Linked DNA regions of Kluyveromyces lactis. The protein of the gene in region 5 binds, or shares a complex with, the protein of the main gene of each other region. Links are inferred from orthologs where the notes say so. Each region holds a gene or a part of one and is shown on either strand. Other genes may lie near its edges. The genes, in order: RFC3, RFC5, POL2, RFC4, CTF8 and RFC2.

The links.
Region 1: CTF8 (region 5) and RFC3 share a complex: the UniProt entries of both Saccharomyces cerevisiae proteins name them as parts of the CTF18-RFC complex. The link is inferred for Kluyveromyces lactis from reciprocal best matches to the Saccharomyces cerevisiae genes CTF8 and RFC3.
Region 2: CTF8 (region 5) and RFC5 share a complex: the UniProt entries of both Saccharomyces cerevisiae proteins name them as parts of the CTF18-RFC complex. The link is inferred for Kluyveromyces lactis from reciprocal best matches to the Saccharomyces cerevisiae genes CTF8 and RFC5.
Region 3: the proteins of CTF8 (region 5) and POL2 are in contact, whole or in part, in a cryo-EM structure (PDB 6S2F), measured with the Saccharomyces cerevisiae proteins. The link is inferred for Kluyveromyces lactis from reciprocal best matches to the Saccharomyces cerevisiae genes CTF8 and POL2. Residues at the interface, in NP_012061.3 of Saccharomyces cerevisiae: Glu40, Lys87, Gln88, Arg128, Leu130, Pro131, Met133; in NP_014137.1 of Saccharomyces cerevisiae: Arg1025, Met1036, Leu1037, Glu1038, Glu1040, Asp1041.
Region 4: CTF8 (region 5) and RFC4 share a complex: the UniProt entries of both Saccharomyces cerevisiae proteins name them as parts of the CTF18-RFC complex. The link is inferred for Kluyveromyces lactis from reciprocal best matches to the Saccharomyces cerevisiae genes CTF8 and RFC4.
Region 6: CTF8 (region 5) and RFC2 share a complex: the UniProt entries of both Saccharomyces cerevisiae proteins name them as parts of the CTF18-RFC complex. The link is inferred for Kluyveromyces lactis from reciprocal best matches to the Saccharomyces cerevisiae genes CTF8 and RFC2.

Annotation. Positions count from the first base shown.
Region 1 is NC_006041.1:1,166,952-1,170,495, reverse strand, and holds RFC3 (replication factor C subunit 3), read right to left. Parts: upstream 2,008-3,544; coding exon 1,018-2,007; downstream 1-1,017. Other genes in the region: PCL1 (Pcl1p), read right to left, coding at 1-357; MID1 (Mid1p), read left to right, coding at 2,300-3,544. UniProt on the Saccharomyces cerevisiae protein: Component of ATP-dependent clamp loader (RFC and RFC-like) complexes for DNA clamps, such as the POL30/PCNA homotrimer and the checkpoint clamp DDC1:MEC3:RAD17 complex.
Region 2 is NC_006038.1:1,065,925-1,069,680, forward strand, and holds RFC5 (replication factor C subunit 5), read right to left. Parts: upstream 1,952-3,756; coding exon 884-1,951; downstream 1-883. Other genes in the region: MRPL16 (mitochondrial 54S ribosomal protein uL16m), read left to right, coding at 67-732; APL3 (Apl3p), read left to right, coding at 2,301-3,756. UniProt on the Saccharomyces cerevisiae protein: Component of ATP-dependent clamp loader (RFC and RFC-like) complexes for DNA clamps, such as the POL30/PCNA homotrimer and the checkpoint clamp DDC1:MEC3:RAD17 complex.
Region 3 is NC_006039.1:231,771-236,739, forward strand, and holds the end of POL2 (DNA polymerase epsilon catalytic subunit), read left to right. Parts: coding exon 1-4,061; downstream 4,062-4,969. Other genes in the region: ORC5 (origin recognition complex subunit 5), read left to right, coding at 4,272-4,969. UniProt on the Saccharomyces cerevisiae protein: Catalytic component of the DNA polymerase epsilon complex which participates in chromosomal DNA replication.
Region 4 is NC_006039.1:338,723-342,271, forward strand, and holds RFC4 (replication factor C subunit 4), read right to left. Parts: upstream 1,886-3,549; coding exon 923-1,885; downstream 1-922. Other genes in the region: VPS52 (Vps52p), read right to left, coding at 1-613; TRM10 (tRNA (guanine(9)-N(1))-methyltransferase), read left to right, coding at 2,382-3,278. UniProt on the Saccharomyces cerevisiae protein: Component of ATP-dependent clamp loader (RFC and RFC-like) complexes for DNA clamps, such as the POL30/PCNA homotrimer and the checkpoint clamp DDC1:MEC3:RAD17 complex.
Region 5 is NC_006038.1:386,094-389,182, reverse strand, and holds CTF8 (Ctf8p), read right to left. Parts: upstream 1,105-3,089; coding exon 703-1,104; downstream 1-702. Other genes in the region: MNS1 (mannosyl-oligosaccharide 1,2-alpha-mannosidase), read left to right, coding at 1-638; LNP1 (Lnp1p), read left to right, coding at 1,387-2,220; EGD2 (Egd2p), read right to left, coding at 2,302-2,832. UniProt on the Saccharomyces cerevisiae protein: Essential for the fidelity of chromosome transmission. Required for the DNA replication block checkpoint.
Region 6 is NC_006038.1:1,228,915-1,232,479, forward strand, and holds RFC2 (replication factor C subunit 2), read left to right. Parts: upstream 1-1,482; coding exon 1,483-2,541; downstream 2,542-3,565. Other genes in the region: phosphatidylinositol kinase-related protein kinase TOR1, read left to right, coding at 1-714; YAE1 (Yae1p), read right to left, coding at 843-1,271; EAP1 (Eap1p), read right to left, coding at 2,616-3,565. UniProt on the Saccharomyces cerevisiae protein: Component of ATP-dependent clamp loader (RFC and RFC-like) complexes for DNA clamps, such as the POL30/PCNA homotrimer and the checkpoint clamp DDC1:MEC3:RAD17 complex.

The DNA.
Region 1 (3,544 bases), on a different chromosome or scaffold from region 5:
ATCGTTGTGGTATTTGGCACTGAGAATCAAACAGGCTAGGAAAATTCTATGGCATGTAGTAGGCAGACCAGCTGCATCGGAGGGCAACAACTCCCTCAATCTGTTTAGGTATACCACGGTGGTCAACAACGTGGATGTGTAAACGTTCGTGTACCGTACTAATCTCGAAATGAACGTCATTAGACTGGGTACTCCATTGTGGTTCTTACTGGATGGAGTGCCCGGTGGTGAAGGTGGGTATCTTTGGTTTCTGTTCTGTGTAGGAATCACTCTCAAAGCGTGATCAGTTAAAAATTTGATCATATCATCGCTCACTGGTGAATCGAACAGAATTTCCAAACTCTTCTTCTTGAACATGCTTAGACTTTATAGGCTTGTTGGGCTCTTACGATATGCTCCCAAAATTGTGCCTAACATGACAGGCAGTACTGGAAGATGCTTCATCCTTCCGATCCTAATCTCTCTTTTATATATGTTTGAACCTTCGCGAGTCTCCAGGTTACACATTTATCAATGCGCCAAAAAAGGCACGCTGCCATTGTCTACTTACAGTAAATACATCAATGCGGTGGTACCTGATACCCAAAACTATGCGATCTTGGAATAGTAATTTTATTTCGTGATCTTCAGAATCCAATTCACCCGTTGTCCTTCTGATCTAACCGTACTTCAAGCTGCATCAGTTATCAAGACGACCAAGGAAAGAAAAATGCTAATTAAAACACAATCAAGTAATGTAATTTCCAAAACTATAAAACTGACACTTTTTTTTCGTGGTCCCCATTGAAAATCTACCCATATCTAAACTCTATACATGCATTAAGTACCGTATCCGTTAAAACTTCTTTTCGTTCGAGACGAAACTTCGCGTTTTGCTTCTCTCTCGACACCGTTAAATCAACGAAAAAACGGGAAAGAAAAAGTTACACTATTTCGTGATTTCGCAGTCGCAGCATGTCACATGGTATATAGATCCGGTATACGTCTGACTAGTTTACTTATTGTGTGCATACATTGTCACACCTCTAATTCCATGCACTGTTTTATCGTTCCGATGGTTGCACTGGTCTGGATCGAATCGGTACCACCTCTTGAGATCGAATATTCGATATCACTTAGTCTAGATAGAAGTTCAATTCTGGTTTGAGGTTTCAGTTCATATTGTTCCAGTAGGCCCGCGATCCCCTCAATCATGTCAATAAGTGCTAAGCCCTTTGTGATTCTGATTTTGTTCACGGTGTATGTAGTGGTAGTCCAGTCGTCCTTGAGAATTGATTCCAGCATGGTTTCAAGGTCACGTGGGTGAGGTGCACCGATGCATTCGTAGATCAAATCCTCGGTGACTTCTTCTGTGTCAGGATTGTCTAGCGTAGCTCTTGCTGCCTGTAGTACGTTCAATGCTCGTCTCATGTCACCGGAAGAGAGCCTTAATAACGCTGCGTGTGCCTGAGGGTCTAATTTCAAGTGTTCCTTCACTAACACATTCGCAATACGACGTTCGATGGCTTGTTCGGACAAAGGTTGGAACCTGAACCTGGTACATCTTGACAGGAGTGCTGGTGTTAGCTTATGTGCATAATTAGCCAAGATACAGAATCTTGTGTTCTTGGTGTACCGTTCTATGATTCTTCTTAGTGCGTTTTGTGCAGCGTTGGTCATTGCATCTGCTTCGTCAAGGATAATAAGTTTGAACCCTTTGCTGAAGATCTGTCTTGTACTGGCAAACTCTTTGATTTGATTTCTCACCACATCGATACCTCTATCGTCACTCGCGTTCAATTCTAGGACCATGTTTCTGTAATTCGATCCGTATATCTCTCTAGCCAATGCTACAATGGTACTGGTCTTACCAGTTCCCGGTGGACCATAGAATAGTAAATGAGGTAGTCTTCCTTCGTGTAGAAACTTTCTTACCGTGTTCACTACGTTCTGTTGCCCATACACATCATCTAGTGTCTCAGGTCTGTATTTTTCGATCCAGGGCAAATTCTCACTCGTTCTCTCCATAGTTGCTGTTTTTCTTTCTGTTTTTTGTTACAAATCGACTGGTACTAATACTGATCAGTCAATTGGATGTGGGTAGAGCTGTTTCGACCCTTGTGGACCTCTTTACTCCCATCAAAATATCTTTCTATTTGTGTATGCTCGAACTCATCTTTCATCAATGTTAAATGGAAGAAAAAAAAATGGAACAAGTCGTAATTCTATATATAAGGTTCAAACGCATGCTCTTTGAATAAAGGGAGAGATCCGTAAGTAGCAGAGTAATTGTACTCTGATCACTGGTAACTGCACTATCATGCTATGGAGATATGTATGTTACTTGTTACTGACGGTTTTTGCGGTTCCGTGTTGCTGCTTTGATTTGTTTCTCGATGAGAACCTGATGGCCAGTGATACCGTCACTGGCAATGATAACAGTTCTGATTCTGCTTCATTGCAAGAATGGGCACCTGTTTCAGCTTCACTAGTAAAGGGTCAGAAATCATATTTCGAATTTTCTATCAACAATACAGATTCTTTCTCACAATTACTACAGACATATGAGATGTTCATCTTTTTAAGTGCAAATATCTGTGAACGGCCTAGTAAAGTTGATAACGATACATCTTTGGTCTTGTACTATACTTTTAACTCTAACGACACTGGGACCTTCACCACTGCAAAGAGTTCTACATTTGACGATGGGTATTTGGAAGCTTTGGCCTTAAGACCATATTATACTGACGACTCTTCGCTGAATAATGGCACGTATTCCACGTTGTATCTGATGGTCCAGTTGGTTAATAGCACCACTGGTCAGCCATTTGAATCGGATGGTAGTACAATTGCAGATGATGATGAGCGGTGGTCGTACCAGATTTCCATATCTCAGCGTGATCTTGTCTTTCAATGGGATAAACGTCCGTGGCTTGATGTCGTTGACACTGATTACAATTCTGCTTTGTTGGTTACTGGTAATGTCACAGCTATGTCGAAGACCACATCTAATTATTCGATCTATGATGTCAGCCTTTATGATATATACATCTATGGGTTCGAATATGCCGAATACTTTGATAATTTGAACCTATCTCATTCCCTTTGTGCCATTCAGAATGGGCCTTATCTAATTTCATCGGCTAATGGCTCATTGAACGGAACTAATAATGGTAATACAGCAGAAAATGCATCTCTATCTTCTACAACTCTATCAGTTCATAAATCTATTACGGTACGCGGGGGTAGCGCTAAGGAACAATTCCATATAACTGGCTTAAATTCGTCAACCACGTACGTTGCATATGTCACAAAGAAATTAGCCACCAGCACAAAGGAATTGGAAGATTCTGGTGGTGTTCTATTTTCTAAGCAATTATTTGAGACCATGGATGATTCATCTTGTTCACTCATCTTTGGATTGGGATTTTGTGATGGTGTTGCATATTCGGTACCATCCTCGTCTTTACTGGAATACAACGATAAGGACGAATTGGCCGCAATCTACGATTCCATAGCGGAATCTTATTATTCAAACTTCAGTTTAGCGTTGCAATTGATCCCC
Region 2 (3,756 bases), about 680 kb from region 5:
CTCGCGCCTCATTGCAAGGATCTTATTTCAGATCAGTGAGCCTCCTTTATCGTAAATTAGATCACCATGTTTTCCAGCGTTTTCAAGACTGGATTTCGCTCACTAAATCCATTAGAAAGTCTGCAAGTAACCGCTAGGCGTTTTACACATGAATATGCTCCACGTTTCAAGAACCAGACTAAGAAGCAAAAGGGTCGTGTGCCAGTGCGTACCGGTGGCTCTACTAAGGGTAATTCGCTTCAATTTGGTCAATTTGGTTTAAGATTGAAGTCTGAAGGTGTGAGACTTACTGCGTTACAGTTGAAGGAAGCCGATAATGCTATTATGAGATACGTTAGACCTTTGAATAACGGTCAATTATGGCGTCGTTTGTGTACAAACATTGCTGTTTGTATCAAGGGTAATGAGACCAGAATGGGTAAAGGTAAGGGTGGATTTGACCATTGGATGGTCAGAGTACCCACCGGTAAAGTGATCTTTGAGATGGCAGGTGACAATCTACACGAGAAAGTAGCACGTGAGGCGTTTAGAAAGGCAGCAACCAAGCTTCCTGGCCTATACGAATTCATATCGAAAGATTCTCTGGTAAGAGTAGGTATCAAGAGTGTAAAAGATCCAAAGGACGATCCAAAGATCAATTACTTTGAAGAACTAAAGAAGAAACCTACAAAGGAATATATTACAAAGTTGAAGTCCCAGCAACCGGAATATAGAATGTTCAGGGCTCGTTGAAATAGATCGATGTGTGTATATAAACGACTCTTTTACGTATAACTTTTGTGAGAGCTAATCCCACTATCTGTAAATAGGCTATCAAAGATTCAAGATTTAAAGTCCCAAATGAGTAAAGTTTGGTTGTTTGTCAAACTACAAAAGTTAATACTTACGTATATTTATCTATTTCACACATTGTCCTTGCAATGAACCCTTCTAAATGGTAGATTGCTTTGTTTCCAAGGTTGAGACGGTGATCAAAAGTGCATGCAGTATCGATAATTGCCAACTTCAACGGATCTGACTGGGCATCTGAAAGCAATTGCGTCGTTAATTCATGGACTATGGTTTTGGCAGGAATACAATGGGCTAATAGATCATAATTTATGGAACGGCATTCTACAAGGTTATTAACAGTTCTTTCTTTTAATATTTTCCTAGCCATTTTATGGATCACCAATTGCCAATCAGGTCTGTTCAAAGGTGTATCGTTTCTTAAATGCAATTCATTTTGTAGTGAGGTAGATTCTAGTGCTAAGAGTGACATTCTCAAGTTCCCCTTTGACAGATTCGCTATCCTCTCTAGACAATTGCCCTCGGCAGTTATTTTTTCTTTGGAACAACAATCCTGCAGGATAGACACAGTTTCTTGCAAACTTGGTGATGGTACTCTAACTAGCAAGCAACGAGACTTGATAGGAGCAATGATACTGGACATTGAATCACATAGCATTATAAGCCTGATGTTACCAGAGTATTTTTCCATAGTTCTTCTTAATGCTGCCTGGGCATCTCTAGTCAACGAGTCTGCCTCGTTGATGATAACGCACTTGTAACGATGTGCCAAACCATCCTTGGAGTCCTGGAAATCTACTTGTTCCATTTGAGCGACTTCCTTAATCAATTCTTGTATCACAACACGATCGTTGTTACCAATATCGCTCGGAGTAATCTCTAAATGGTAGGGACTACTGACTACATTCAACTCCAGCTTACGGTTGGATGGTGTGACGAACTGTCTAACGTCGATCTTCAGCTTGTAAACCCCAGAACCAAATATTTCTTGCAACAGTGCCATACATCTAGTCTTCTTACCAGCACCATTGGGTCCATAGAACAACAGATGTGGAAGATCTTGAGGTTGTCTCGTTAATGAGTACAATTGATTTGTTAATTCTTCATTGTAACTTAATGACTGTAGAGTCTTTGGTCTATACTTATCAACCCACAAAGACATTCTCGTATAGGAATTTTAAATCTTGTTAGTCGATGTAGCTCAATGTAACTCGCTGGAATGGCTCGTTCGCCTGCTATGCGTTTTGATTAATTGTCTCTCAAGTACTTTTCGTGATGCGTTTTATTAACAATTTCGCCAAACGTTTCTTCACGTTGACATTTTGAAATTCAAATGATTTCAAGTAGACGTAACTTCAATAGCCTTAAAACAACAACATCAAGTTAGATAGTATACCAGCAGTAGGTACCATTTTTATCTGTACACTTACTAGTTGTTATCGATTAGCAGTGCCACTTGATTATCTTCCTAGTTATTTGGTGTCTTACAAGTCAGAATCAAGAAATTAACAATGGCTTTAGGTCAGAATCAACAGAACAACATGAAGGGTTTGCAATTGTTCATTGCAGACCTTCGAGCAAACCAGAAGACTAAAGAGCATGCTAGGAGAATACAAACTGAACTACAGAATATACGGACTCAGTTTACCCAGAAAAGTGGGCTCAATGGGTATCAAAGGAAAAAATATGTTGCTAAGATGGCATATATATATATCACTACTAATGCTGGCATGGTTCCTGAGTTGTTATTCGGATTGGATCAATGTTTCCAGTTGTTGAAAAGCAGTAACTTCAGTGAAAAATGGATTGGTTATATGACACTTGAACTCCTTTTCAACCATGCTGTTGTGAGAAACAGCGTCCTGGAGAAGACTATTTCATGCTTGAAACTGGATCTATCATCTGGCGACGCTAATGCAGTAAGCTTGGCGTTGAACTTCGTCGGAATAGTTGGGAATCGTGATGAAATCTTTGCTGATAATCTAAGTGAGACGATATTCGGAATTCTTAGATCTCCTGTCTCATCAGCCATTTTGAAAAGAAAAGCATGCTTGGCGTTTTTAACTTTAATTCGTTATAAACCGCAAATCCTTACAAATCTTGAAGATAATAAACGAACTCTATGGATTGAAAGAATTACTACATTATTAGGGGATGAGAACGATCATGGATTATTACTTTCACTTTTGCCTTTACTTGAGTTTATAGCTAGAGAGATTGACGTTAATCCATGTTTGAGGTTAATCCCGCAACTAGCTGAGATTTTGCATGAATGTCTATCGAAAAAGCAGAATAGTGCAAATGATGCAGATTACCAATTTTCGGGAGTATCTAACCCATGGATTGTAGGGAATTGTGTATCTCTTTTACAAGTCTTGGTCAGCGATAACGGAGAGAATTTGATCGGATCGAATATTGATCAACAGACCCTGGGTAAGTTACGGGTTTGTGTATCACATGCGGTATCGTTTGCATTAGCAAGTGATGCCAATCCGGTCACCAAAAATGCTCAGTATTCTGTTATGTTTACAATGCTCGGTTTTGCTTGTAAACTGGATCCTACTAATGAGGCTATTTCAAATTCCGTCACAGGACTTTGTGAACTAATGACATCTAATGACCTGAATACGAGATATTCAACTTTCGATCTTTTAATCAAAATCTGTAAAGTAAATGGAACAACTGCGATAAAGACAATTCAAAATGAACATCTCACGAGATTAGTTGATATGTTAAAAAGAGAGAGTGACGTTACTCTATTGAGAAAAATTATTGATCTCCTTGTCATCTTAACAGACGTAAGCAATTTCAAATTTGTCGTTCAAGAGCTTTTAAGTGCATTAGAAGCCCACAAATCAATGGATTTTGCTCTGAGAGAAGATTTGTCGTTCCAAATTGAAAGGCTGATAGAGCTGCACGCAGATGATCTCAACTGGTTTGTGCTCTCCTCGTTAAGGTTATTATCAT
Region 3 (4,969 bases), on a different chromosome or scaffold from region 5:
ACATTATTCAAATGGCCAGATCCGTGGTTGAAAGAATTGGAAGACCGTTAGAATTAGACACCGATGGTATTTGGTGTATCCTTCCTAAGAGTTTTCCGGAAAATTTTGAAATCAAGCTGCGCAACGGCAAGAAACTATTTCTTTCGTATCCTTGTTCGATGCTTAACTATAAAGTTCATCAAAAATACACTAATCATCAATATCAAGACCTCGTCGACCCTATGAAGTTCAAATACCAAACAAAAAGTGATAATTCCATTTTCTTTGAAGTCGATGGACCATATAAAGCAATGATACTGCCAACTTCCAAAGAAGAAGGTAAAGGTATCAAGAAGAGATATGCTGTGTTCAACGAAGATGGTTCATTGGCTGAACTAAAAGGTTTCGAACTAAAAAGAAGAGGTGAACTACAATTAATCAAAAATTTCCAGAGTGATATTTTCAAGTTATTCCTGGAAGGAACAACCTTAGAGTCATGTTACGCTGCAGTAGCAACAGTTGCTAATAGATGGCTTGATGTATTAGATTCTAAGGGTGCAATGCTCGAAACTGAAGATCTTATTGAACTGATTTGTGAGAATAAAAGTATGTCAAAAACATTAAAGGAGTATCAGGGACAAAAGTCAACTTCCATTACCACCGCAAGAAGGCTCGGTGAATTTTTGGGGGAAGCAATGGTTAAAGACGCAGGCTTACAGTGTAAGTTTATTATCAGTTCCAAACCACATAATGCACCGGTGACAGAAAGGGCTATTCCTGTTGCTATATTTTCTTCCGATCTTCATGTTAAGCGCACATTTTTAAGGAGATGGTTATTGGACTCAAGTCTCAATGACTTTGATCCAAGGGCTATTATCGATTGGGACTATTATAGAGAAAGATTGGCTTCTGTTGTTCAAAAAATTATCACAATACCGGCAGCATTACAAAACATTAAAAACCCTGTACCCCGTGTTGAACATCCTGATTGGTTAAGAAAGAAAATTGCTGTTAGTGAAGATAAATTCAAACAGACTTCCTTGAATCGTTTCTTCAAATCTACCAAAGCTCCACCTGAAGTCAAAGATATAGAAGACTCTTTTGATGAACATTCCGCGAATAAATCACGTATCGCTAAGGTCACGTACAAGAGAAAGAGCAAAAGACGTAATGGGGATACAGCACTAGAAGAAGAGTCTTTGCTGCTACCCTCTGAAATGCCTCCGATGTTAGATGATTATGTGGGCTGGTTACAATATCAAAAAACCAAATGGAAGATCCAGCATATTGATCGAAAGAAAAGAGAAAAGCTATTTGGTAAAACTTCACGAGCATCTGATCGGTCTGCTTTGGGCAATTTGATAAGAAAGCACGTTGAATCATATGCAGATAAAAGCTGGGAAATTTTACAATGTAAACCGTCCATCGATTTAGGTGTCGTAGAAATTTATGCTTTAATCGATAGGAAAATCCAATTGCTGAAAGTAAACATTCCCAAAACTGTACTCATGAACTTCAAGACGGAGAATTTCCCCTCGGGAGGGATTGAAAACTGTATCGTCGAAAAGTCCAACGCGGAACTGCCTAACGTGAAAGGCATCAACAATGAAAGCAGTAGTCAATTGTTTAAACTGACAATGTCAGAAGATACCTATTTCAACGAAGTTAATAAAGCATCAAGCGTATTGAACAACGAGAATGTTTTGGGAATATACGAGAGCTCAATTTCTTCGAATGAAAGAGTCATAATGCGGCTAGGGACGTGTATTCAATTCAGCTCTGAAAAAATGGGTGCGCTAGGAAAAGGTTTACAGAACGGTTTTCATATGAAGAATTTACATCCTGTTGAAGCAGATAGATATCTCCAAAGGTTTGACCTTGATATTGCCTACCTTCTACATTTTGTAACAGATATCGGCTATGAATTCTATTTCTTGTATAAAGCATGGGAAGATGTGGTAGAAATATTTGTGCTGAAACCAAGCACTCATGCTCAAGAAGTTTCTAATAAAGCTATAGAATCTCTTTACAACGAGATATACGAGAAAAAGTTCGAAAAGCTCGATAAATACTATGACTTAATCAAGATAAACAAGAACGTTTCGTTTAACGTGAATGATTATACTGAACTAAAGCGTTTACTGAAGGACCTTTCAAAGATGCTGCAAAATATTAAGGAAGAAAAAGGATCTCACACAATGGTGATTCTACAATCTCCATATACCCATAGAGTTGCTAAATTGTTGCAGCCTTTGAATGCCTTCCCTGTTGTTGAAATAGCTACTGCTGAAACACATTTGCCAGCTTTGAACTGGCAGGGACAATTAATGAGGAAAGCGGTCAATCACATATTGTCTCTTGGTTCTTGGATCTCAAATTTGATTACTCTCTCAAAATACAGCAACATTCCAATATGTAACCTCAAAGTCGATAATCTCGGATACATTATCGATTTGATGTACGCTCGCCAGTTGAAAAAGAACAACATCGTTCTATGGTGGAATGATAAATCGCCGTTGCCTGACCACGGTGGCGTTGAAAGAGATTTTGACCCACGGAAAGCGGAGCTCATGACTGATTTGGTGTTCCCTATTATGAATAACCCTGATATCTATGATGACGTTATCTTCGAAATTAGTGTCTATAACTCTGTTGTGAACACTGTTTTGAGCAGCACCATGTTGAACGAGGCTGAAGGTACAGACCTTGCCCAAAATTCGACATCTAAGGAAGAATCCTTCGGTTTTGTTGAAGATTCTTTCTCTTCTTCGGCCTTGTCAGTGCTTCGCGCACTGTTGAAAGAGCTTTGGGATGATGCCTTAGGTGATAATATCACGGCTGACTCATTAGTACACGCATTTATAGGATGGGTGTATAACCCTGACGCGAAATTATTCGATTATGCTTTGAGATATCACATCCATACTCTCACTCAAAAGGCCGTGTTACAGTTGATCAATGAATTTAAGCTGGCAGGATCATCTCTCATCTTCGCAGACAGAAACAAACTGTTAATCAAAACTCAGAAGCGTTCCGTTGAGAATTCTTACGCCTATGGGCAGTATCTCATGAAAGCGATCAGATCTAAACCAATGTTTGCCTATCTAGACTTGAAAATTGATAGATATTGGGATGTCCTGATTTGGATGGATAAGTATAATTATGGTGGTAGAGCATGTCTACAGATTGAAGATAAAGAAGTTCAGAGTTTCCAGGCTTATTCTCATTGGCATATAAAGGATTTCTTACCTGCAATTTATCAGCAAGAGTTTGATGATTGGTTAGTAGTCATACTGGATAGTATGGTTAAGACAAAGGAAGCCTATCATGAGCGAAATGCATCCACACAAAGATTAACCCAATTACCAAAGAATACACTGGCTGATAGTGACGTAGATAGTCAAACTGACTCTCTAGGCGGTTTTACCCATAATTTTTCAAAAGCTCTCATCAAAAGAGCAGAGAAACTTTACAAGAACCAACAGGAATATATTCTTGATCCTAACTTCGGCAAGGATTATCTATCTCCCACAATTCCTGGGTCGCATCTAGTTGTGAAAAATCCGCTTCTTGAGTTGGTCAAATACTTATCACATATTTTATCACTTTCCAGTAATCATTTATTAGAAGGAAGGGCGCTAAGGAAAGAACTCCTAAAGACATTTGAAATACGCGAATTCGACAGATTAGCTGAATTCAAGGATCCAAGTACATCTTTTGTGATCCCTAGCTTCATATGTGAGCATTGTTCTTATATATCAGATATTGATATTTGCAGAGAAAGTATGGAACGAGTCTTCATATGCCAGAGCTGCAACAGATCCTTGAATAAAAATCTCATTGAAGAGCATGTGATCGAACGACTTCAAGCCCAAGTTGCATCGTTTATTACCCAAGATGTTAAGTGCAATAAATGTCATAAGATCAAAGAGGATGCAATGTCACCTTATTGTCCATGTTCAGGAAAATGGGAACTTGCCGTATCTAAGGAATCTTTCATGGCACAGTTACAAATTTTCAAGAACTTGGCGGAAAGCTTTGACTTTAGAACATTGAAAGAAACTTTGAATGATTTCTTATAGGTTCAAGTCCCTGGCATCTGTTGTATTATCTTTTAGTCTGCTGATGTGTTTACATTTAACATTTATGAGTGTTTATGTGTTAAAATAGATCTGAAAATAAAAAATATATATACACATAAAGGAAATTGTTCTGAACTTAGCATGGTTGAATTCTTCCCACCTGAATGAAGACGCACTATGTGTTATTTACTGCGAATCAAGTGACCCAGAATGGTACGACCTGATGTTAGATATAGAGAAGAACAACTAGATTTTTTGGAAGCGTTTGTCGATGCCGATCCAAAACTGAGCCCGCCAATCTTGTTCATAGAAGGGCCGCATGGAAGTGGTAAGACACATACCCTCAAGAAGTTTTTTGCTTGCAATGAAGAAATCATGAACATTTTACTACCAGCGAAAGATCTGATATATAGCAAATCCACCTGTCAGCGGTTGGCTACATGTCTGCGTCAATTGCTACTGAAACAATTTCCTAGTGTGGAAACCACTGATCTTGATCCATTTGAAGCCGAGGACGTATATCTTTTGCAGAAATTTATCAATAAATTGTTTATCCGATTTAATCACTTGGTAGAACGCGTTAACCTTTATGTTATACTCGATGGGCTGGATGATAATTCACAGGTGAACTTGGAAACACCTACGCAACTCATGGCATTACCTGGATCTATTCTTCCACAAGCGATGATTCAACTTCGGTTAATAATCTCGTTCTCCAAATCCTCATTCTTGTCCAATTACTCAACGTTCAAGGTTCCCACGATCTTCTTCCCCAAATATAAACCACTGGAGATTGAATATATTGTATCACAAACACCAGGTTTCTCGGATGACCCGCTGTTATTGGAAAAAATGGATGAGATAGGATGCGGAAATACAGAACAATTCAGGAGTGAAATCTTCGAAAA
Region 4 (3,549 bases), on a different chromosome or scaffold from region 5:
GTCCGTCCCTCAGTCTCTTAATTCTTATCACAATATATTTTTTAGCTCTTTCTGCAGAAACTGCCTTTAGTATTTGTAAGATTTCATTCAACTGTTCGAAATCATTTGGTCTCTCTGATTTATTTTCTTCTTGATACTTCAGGAATATCTCTTGTTTATCGTTCAAATAATCAATACAATCAATCCATTTTTGATCAATCTTGCCTCTTAACACTTGATATATTATTTCAGGAGAGATTATCAAATCATTAACGATGGGACTTATGTCTTTCAACTTCGAAGAGTTACTCTTCAGTAACGATGAAAACTCAGAAAATTTACCCTTAACGAAATCGAGATCTTTAGTCAAATCGTTCAACTTGTTGTTAAATTCGGCAAAGTAATTTTTCAAACTCGGTATAAGTGTCTCAGTAGAGGTACGTATTGATTGGTTCTTTTCCATGAGATCATCAAATTCCTTGAGGAATTCAGTATGTAATTGATATTCTTTTTTTAGGGTCGAGTCAACGTAGGCTCGGTAAGTATCAATGTTATCATCTTTACCTGATGGAGAATCCTCTGGCAGTTGAAGTTCAGTTGCATCTAATTCTAACAGATCGCTTAAAACATCCATTATAATTTCAATATATGGTTTTCTGTCACGAACAGAGTGTAATACAATTTGAAGTATCTTTCTTTTCCAACTGTATTCTTTGCGGTGTAGTCGATGTTCTTTTTGATATATTTCAGGCTTTTCGTATTTTTTCTGAAAGTTGTAATACACACACACATCAGGAAAACGAAATGCTGACGGTGAGCGAACGGGGGAGTAGTTTAATTATATGCTTTCTATAGGTCCCCAAGCTTGAAAACTTTGGGTCATTTAAATATTTACAATCATTATGATTACTTTTTGGATGTTAATTATGTGGTAATAGTCTATTTACGATTTAAGCTTTTGAATTTTAGCTAACATACCTGATAGTTGAAGATGAGTCCCGACACCTTCAAGAATTCTCATATGTGTAAAGCCGATTTCCTTGATCATCTCCAATCTAACCGTTTCCTTAACTTCATCGAGATTTTTCATTACTCTGAAACAAGTTATCACTATATCTACCGCAGAGTAGCCTTTAACCCAAAGTTCTTTTAAATATTGCAGCGATTCATCGAGAGATCCAGATAATAGCATTCTCTTGACTATTAGTGGATGCGGGGAATCAACAATTTGGAAAACGTTCTCCCCATTTACTAAACCGAAACCAGCAACTGTACTTTGTAAATTGTTTATTGCCTGTCTCATGTCACCTTCGGCAGTGAAGATAATAGCTTCGAGACCATCATTCGTGTATTGAACATCTTCCAGCTTTATAATTTCCAATAATCTTTTGAGAACCTGTTCATCAGTTAGTTTCGAGTAACGTAGTATTGCACAACGAGATTGTAAAGGTTCAATTATCTTATTAGATTGGTTACATGCAAAAGCAAATCTCGTCGTATTAGAGTATAACTCCATTGTTCTTCTCAAAGCCTGCTGAGCACCACTGGTCATTGAATCTGCCTCATCCAAAATGATAATCTTATGCTTACCTGCTGGTAGCGTGCACTTCTTTTGGGCAAAATGCTTTATCTGATTTCTGACGACTTCGATACCTCTGTCATCAGACGCATTCAACTCCAATACAGCCTGTGAATACGCATCACCTAATAGCTCATGTGCCAAACAGTGTATCGAAGTTGTTTTACCAATACCTGGTAGGCCACTGATAATCATGTGAGGCATATTACCATCAGCAGCGATGGTTTGTAGCCGTTGCACCGTATCCTCATTCCCTACAATATCTTTCAATAAATGCGGTCTGTATTTTTCAACCCATGGTAATTCCAACTTGGTAGCGTAGGACATCTTTCAAAATCAATCTTCTAAGAACTGATCTGAACCCCCTGTTATAGTTATTAATCGGTCAATTGATAGTGACCCAGAGTTATGTATTTTCTTTTCAACCTCGACAGAACCATTATTTTCATTTGGCTCTGTGAATTAAATGCTCTCTACATTTCAAAGTTTCAAAGATTTAGATATAAATACATGTTGATAAACCAAAAAAAAAACAAGAAGAGAAGAAGTACAATCAGGCGCTTGGACATACTTACTAGTATCAATTTTGGCACGTTAATATGGTGTCACGCTCTCGGGATTGATATAATTCGAATCGTTGTGTTAATCGCGAAACAGGAAGCGATTATCCAGTGACATAAAACCCACGTGACTTTCAAACTTTATCAACATGAAAAATGCAGAAGAAGAAACGAATGTTTAGAGAAAGCTTTCAAAGATTCCAACGATATGGAAGCTCATCGCAGATGGTCCTTCGAGAATAAAGAATTGAAGACAAGCTCAAATGTCTGATACCAGTGAAAATTCAAATGCTGAGATTCCAGCTGATACCTCAGATGTCAAAGATAAACCTAAGCCGATAGTTAGGGCACCACAATTTCCACCTCCTCCGGAAGGCATATCAAAATCACAATGGAAGAAGATCTGCAGGAAGAAGCGTTTTGAAGAGACGAGGGCAGAATATGCACAAATCCGCAAAGAGAAGAGAAATCGTGCCAAATTGGCACGTAGGGAAAAGCTCAAGGAATATACTGATAGAGGCGAAGAAATCCCTGAAGAATTAAAGCGTCCACCAAAAGTTAATTTGAATCAAAGTGATTCCGGCATATCTATTATTCTTGACTGTTCCTTCGATGATTTAATGAACGATCGCGAAATTGTAAGTTTATCTACACAAGTCACTAGAGCTTATTCTAGCAACAAAAGAGAGAATAATTACGCCAAGATTAAAGTGACATCTTTCGATAAGAGATTAAAACAACGATTCGATAACGATTTGAGCAACTCTAACTACACCAAGTGGAAAAATTTCGAATTTACTGCAGATCCAACCTTGCCCACTGAGAATGCCGTCTATCTGACTGCTGATACAGAAGAAAAACTGGATACTTTAGAACCAGGGACCACTTATATCGTAGGTGGTATAGTAGATAAAAACAGACATAAGAACCTATGCTACAACAAGGCAAAGGAACTTAACATCCCAACCAAGAGGCTTCCTATCGGAGAATTTATCAATCTTGCTGGAAGGAAAGTGTTGACTACCAGCCATATGGTCCAACTAATGTTGAGATACTTCGACAACAAGGACTGGAAGGAAGCATTCGAAAGCGTGCTTCCACCTAGGAAACTCGAAGTCGACTCTACAAAAGAAGACTCTGAAACTGCTTCTGCTGAATAGAGCCAGCCCTTTATTATATAATTGTACGTTAATTACACCTTGCATATGGGCATCTGACAAGTAGACTACATAGCTATAAAACCAGTCTTCGGTTTTTAACCACACTCATACCCTACCAATGACTGCAAACGGCAACAAACATATCCATTTGCAGATCTAGAATTCCCCAAGGGCTTCATTTTTTCTTTGAGGACAGTACAAAACATCACGCACGACGCATGACTAACTTCTATTTGACTGGACTATCTTTCCTTCCAATGGAATTTTCATT
Region 5 (3,089 bases):
GTTTCATGGGTGGGTTATTAGCGATGGGAGCCACGAATGGTAAACCATACTCTGAAGCTGCGAATGGTCCTGACTGGAATCCTACGAAACAAAATGACTGGGAACTCGCTGAGGATTTGACAAAGTCTTGTTATGAAATGTATCACCAAATCCCATCAGGATTGTCACCAGAAATCGTTGTTTTCAATAGTAACTACCCTAACGCTGAACCTAACTGGTGGAGATCTGAGTCCGAAGACTATTTCGTAAAGCCCTTTGACAAACACAACATCCAACGCCCAGAAACTGTCGAATCTCTAATGTTTTTGTATCATTTATCAGGAAATGAACAATATAGACACTGGGGATGGGAAATCTTTAGCAATTTCATCAAGCATACTAAAGTCATTAAAGTCGCGGCGGATGGCGAAGAAAAGGTCGCATACACTTCGTTGCATAATGTTATTTCATTACCAACAGACAAAGCTGACAATCTTGAGAGTTTCTGGCTAGCAGAGACTTTGAAATATCTTTACCTTTTGTTCGACGATGATGTTGAGCTAAGCAAGATTGTATTTAATACTGAGGCCCATCCATTCCCTGTATTTAATCAATCAAGACTCAATGAGTTAAACTTAACCACAGGTTGGAAATTATAATCCAAATCATCCTCCTTATGCATTGTTTATAGTTAGAGAATACGTTCTTAAGAAGTCTTTATTTCTACATAATCGGAAGCGGTCTATTCTTGAATATTATCTTATATTTGAGTACGTCTCGCAGGCTAACAGTTCCATCAGCTTTGTCAAATTTCAAGAGTCCCAATGGTGGCTCAATTTTTACAATGGAACCCATAAGTCTTTGTTTGTTCCCAATAAAGAGCGTAACGTGTTTTGTTTCCAGATCGTAGGATAATATGCCAAATCGTACCAATCCATTTCCTTCATGCTCTATAAACCTTGAGTCCACATCCAATGCAGGATCAATTGACTTCTGTGGATGTTGCAAGTCTCCTTGAATTTCTATCATGACATGACCTAAGGATGTACTTACTGTCGGTGGTGTATCGCGATCTTCCGCGAATATATCTATCAATTGATTAACGGAAATATCCACACTTGGCATAACTAGAAGTTTGGGTGCAAAGGCAGTATCCAAGCGATATTTGTATGGATATATAAGGTTTTAAGAAACCCAAACTGACTTGTTTTGGCGTCATTCCATCGTCTGTTCCCGAATTCTTCAATTTCAATAATTTTTCGTCAATATGATTTAGAAATAACATGGATTTGATATTTAAAGGATCATTATAGCCTACAAACAACTATGTAAAAAAAAATGGACTACCTAAAATAAAGGGTTTCTCGAGATCGGACATCAAAGGGAAGTAGATATTGATACCTTAACATGTTGAGCGCCGTACGAAAGATTGTAAGTGGCGATAATGATGTTAAGAAGTTAGTTCAAAGGTATAACAAAGACTTATCTTCCATAACGAATAAGATACATGACTACGAAACGAAATTGAAGGGAATCGAAGATAGAGCCAAAAGTTTACGTGCAACAGTAACTTATTATTATTTGACGTTATTGGTTTGCATAATTGCATATGTTTATTTGAAGTATTCATCTTCGCGTGCTATCTTATGCAGCATTGTAGCACTAGCTTTACTAATATGCATAAGGCTTGCCATAACAAGATTCTATCTCATGCTCAATAAAAAATATGAGTCGAGGCTCTCAGCATTAATATCCTTACATCAAGAGAAGATGGAGGAATTGAAACAGAAAACGAATTTCTATCACACTAACTCACTAATTCAACGGTACTCCAGCGGTGAAAGTGGATCTGATGATTTAATGTTACTAATGGACGATGAAGTGAAAGCGAAGCATGAACAACTAGAGAAGCTTAAGATGGAATTGGAACAATTGCGCACAAATGAGAAACAGAAGACTCAAGATGTTGAAGCACGTGAGAAATGGTTCGATAAAGCCCTAGGTATACTAGCAGGTGGTGATGACATAAAAACATTACAACCATCAATATCGTTAATAGTTTGTTCACAATGTAAAATGTCCTTTGGCTGCTACTCAGTAGCTGGTGTACCGTTCCAATACGTGTGTTCCAATTGCGGATCCAAACTAGCTACAAAGCCCTCGAACACAGCCGCACCAGCTAGTAGCAAAAGCGAGGCCTCTGACACACTTCATGAAGTTCCAGAACTAGAAGAGAAATGAAATAGGATCTGATACGAGTTTGCAGTAGATAAGTATACAAGTAAAAATGAATTATCTAGTTATCTACTATTCCTGTGCTTTTTAACCAGACAAGGCCATGATAGCGTTGACGATGTCAGAGTCGTGCTCCTTCAAAGCCTTAGCAGCCTTAGCTCTTGGGACGCCGGCTTGTTGCATGACCAATTCAATGTCGTCAGCGTTCAAACCAGTTTCATCGACTTCAGCATCATCTACAGCGTCGTCAGCAGAAGGCTTGTCAGTGGCGGAGTCAGCAGCAGCTTGCATGTCCGCTTGGATGGACTGTGGGTCCTTAGAAACAGCATCTTGACCAGCTGGCAAAACACCTTCATTTTGTTGAAGAGATTCTTGAGCCTTGGCTAATCTTTGAGTGAAATCATCAACCTTGGCTTCACCGAAAACAACAAAGTTACCACCTTGAGACTTGTAAACTTCTGGTCTGTCGATAGCAAAGATTTGACCATCCTTCTTCTTGAAAGTGACTCTAGAAACACCTTGGATTGGCTTCAATCCCAACTTTAGGATCAATTCTCTGGCCTTCTTTTCATTTTTGGAAAAAATGGAAACGTTGGAGTCTTGGGCAATTTCAGACATTATGTTAGTTATGATGGTTCAATTGAGTTAATTGGGTTGATCTGAGGAGATGAAAGCTCTTTAATTACCTCAACACATAAAGAACTTTTGGAAGAGAGAGAGAATAAAACTTTGTTCAACGAAATTTCAAGATTTTCTTCATCGACAAATTGACTTTTTTCTTTAGAACGGGAATACATGCGAATAGTTGTCACGTGGACAACAAAAAGGACAATAAAAATAAATCGAAATGCTGCTTCTGTGGATCGAACACAGGA
Region 6 (3,565 bases), about 840 kb from region 5:
CAGGACTTGTATAAGGTTCTATGGTTAAAGAGTCGTTCATCAGAATCATGGCTCGAACGTCGTACAACTTACACAAGATCGTTAGCCGTCATGTCAATGGTAGGATATATTTTAGGTTTAGGTGATCGTCATCCAAGTAATTTGATGTTGGACCGTGTTACTGGTAAAGTTGTCCACATTGATTTCGGTGACTGTTTCGAAGCTGCAATTCTCAGAGAGAAATACCCAGAAAAGGTACCATTCAGATTAACAAGAATGTTAACGTACGCAATGGAAGTCAGTGGTATTGAAGGTAGTTTCCGTATCACCTGTGAGAACGTAATGATGGTCCTAAGGGATAATAAGGAGTCCTTGATGGCTATTTTGGAAGCCTTTGCATACGATCCATTAATCAACTGGGGTTTCGATCTACCGACTCAAGCCGTGATGGAACAGACGGGAATAGATCTACCTCTTGCAAATCCAAGTGAGTTACTAAGAAAGGGCGTCATCACCGTTGAAGATGCGGCCAAGATGGAACTACAACAAAAGGCAGAAGTCCGCAACGCAAGAGCCACTCTTGTTCTCAAAAGAATCGCTGATAAACTTACTGGTAACGATTTCCCAAGGTATCAAGAACTATCTGTGCCTGATCAAGTCGACAAGTTGATCCAGCAAGCTACATCAGTAGAAAACCTATGTCAACATTACATCGGCTGGTGTTCGTTCTGGTGATACCTAAACAAAAAGAACATCGCTAAAAGCATTATAGACTATTGAATCATTATATCTTCTTATACACTATGTATTTGTAAGAAGGTGCGTATACCTGTCATTATTTATCAAAATAAAAATCATACTCATCAAGAATACTTACCTTCATAATCCAATACCCGAGCTTGCCATTTGGATAGGAGTACCTTCAATGAATCTAAAGGTTGTAATTCTTCATCGAAGTGTCTAGCGGACAACACCCTGTTAATCCGTAGTTCGTCTTGAGCTTGCTTTAAGTCTGCAGCAACTTGAGGGTCTGCATTCCCATAAAGCGTGGTAAATAGCCTCAATTTACCCACAATTTCCCCTATTTGAAACCCATACTTAGCACCCAAGGGGAAGGTATCGTCAAACCCAGCTTGCAAGTTTTCCTCCTTCGCTGACGAAATACCATCTAAATACCCTCTTTTCGAATGTATTTGTTGAAGTTTCTTCACTTCTAGCGACTCTTGAGGACCGGTACTGGCCTCATTATCAGAGCCCCATATATTTTCCTCATCTGTCATCTCCACGGTCATTGGTCGTGAGGTTATGATCAATATCTTGGTCCTCTAGTGGACACCTCTTTATCATCTCATCGTGTACTCTGTATTTAATAAGCTTTCAACATTGAAAAATTCCCAGCTGAACCTTTAACGACTTTGAATGATAAGATCTTTTGGATTATAAAATATGAGAAATAAAGGTTTGTAAAGGGCCATTGAGAGCTCAAGAAGGTGTTGAGGCGCGATGTCTAGTGGAACGATATTCAAGAAACAGAAGTTGAACCCATCAGATGGTAAAGGTCAAGCAAAACCATGGGTTGAAAAGTATAGACCAAGGAAATTAGATGATGTTGCTGCTCAGGATCATGCCGTTACCGTCTTGAAAAGGACTTTACAGACTGCAAATTTGCCACATATGTTGTTTTATGGTCCTCCTGGTACTGGTAAGACTTCTACTATTCTTGCTTTGACGAAAGAGTTGTACGGTCCCCATTTATCGAACAGCAGAGTTCTAGAATTAAACGCGTCCGATGAACGTGGTATTTCGATCGTCAGAGAGAAAGTGAAGAACTTTGCTAGGCTCACTGTGTCTAAGCCATCAGAATCAGACCTTGCGAATTATCCATGTCCACCATACAAAATTATCATTCTTGATGAAGCCGATTCTATGACTGCTGACGCACAAAGTGCGCTGCGTAGAACCATGGAAACCTATTCTGGTGTCACTAGATTCTGTTTGATCTGTAATTACGTTACTAGAATCATTGATCCCTTGGCTTCAAGGTGTTCCAAATTCAGATTCAAAGCGTTGGATTCATCCAATGCACTAAGCCGTCTACAGTTCATCGCTAACGAAGAATCTTTGAAATATGAAGACGGTGTTCTTGAAAGAATATTAGATATTTCCCAAGGTGATCTAAGAAAGGCTATAACTCTGCTCCAATCTGCAGCTAAGATCGTGTTGCAGAACGATGATGCGAATACTATTACTTTGAAGCATGCTAATGAATTATCGGGGACGATTCATGAAGAGATACTACAGGATCTAATCAACGTAATAAAAGGAAAAGATCTCAACAAGATTATTGATAAGGTACAGGAATTTGTTAACCAGGGATGGAGTGCAGCTTCAGCATTGACCCAATTGCATGAGTATTACATCAAGAATGAAAGCTACGATACAGAGTTTAAGAATAAGGTATCTTGGCTACTTTTCGATAGCGATTCCAAGTTAACCAACGGAGCTAGCGAGCATCTTCAAATGTTGAACCTAGCAATGAAGGTATCTCAATTATATAACTAGTTAGATGAGTAATTAGATCAATGAATGCAAAGAAAAGTATCGATTTACTTGCTACTTATTTAGATGTAATTGCGTTATTGGCGCGGATTTGTTTGGCGCGGTTGCTGCGGGTGTTGTTGTTGCTGCGGGTATTGTTGTTGCTGCTGCTGCTGTTGTTGTTGTTGAAACTGTAGAGCCATCATTGGATGGCCATATGGGAATGCATTTGGTGGGATACCTTGAGCTGGAATTGGAACATTTTGCCCATTGAAGTTCATTGGCATACCTGACATCATATAAGGTTGTTGTGGGTGGGATTGAGGATGGCCTTGTGAAGGAACTTGACCTTGCGGACCAACTTTACTTGCTGGCTGTTTTGGAGCGCTAGGAGGCTGCTGTTGTGGGTTACCCAAGTGTTCGGGGAATCCTTTACCGTTGCTCATTATACGTGGCTGTCCCATTCCAGGTGGCGGTGGAGGAGGCATAGCATAGCCACCTTGGAAGTGCTGTGGAGGCATTCCCATAGGAGGGGCCATCATATGTGGTGGCATCCCAACTGGGAATCCTGGAGGTGCCTGCATTGGAGCACCTGATTGAGCAATGTTTTGTGGTGGTTTACCATGTTGCTGCTGCTGAGCAGGATGAGCATGCTGGCTGTGTTGTTGATGAATTTGTTGAAGTTTGCGTTGTTGAGGTTGCTGCTGCTGCTGTTGATGTGGGCGCTGAATGTGTTGCTGTTGTTGCTGTTGTTGCTGTTGCTGATGCTGCTGCTGCTGCTGCTGCTGCTGCTGCTGCTGTGTGATGTTAGGTATCTGAGATTGATTTTGGGAAAGGCCCGGAGGGGCAGAGACTAAGGGCTGTTGCATCATATTTTCACTGCCTTTAGTCATTAAACTCTTCAAAAACACGCTGCCATTGACATCATTATCTTTCGCAGCACGAGGACCTGAGTGAGGTTGGGAATGATTCGAAGAAGCGACCGACGACAATGATGTGGTAGAAGACTGTTGAGTAAGACCAGGTGGATTGTTTACCATGGGCTTTT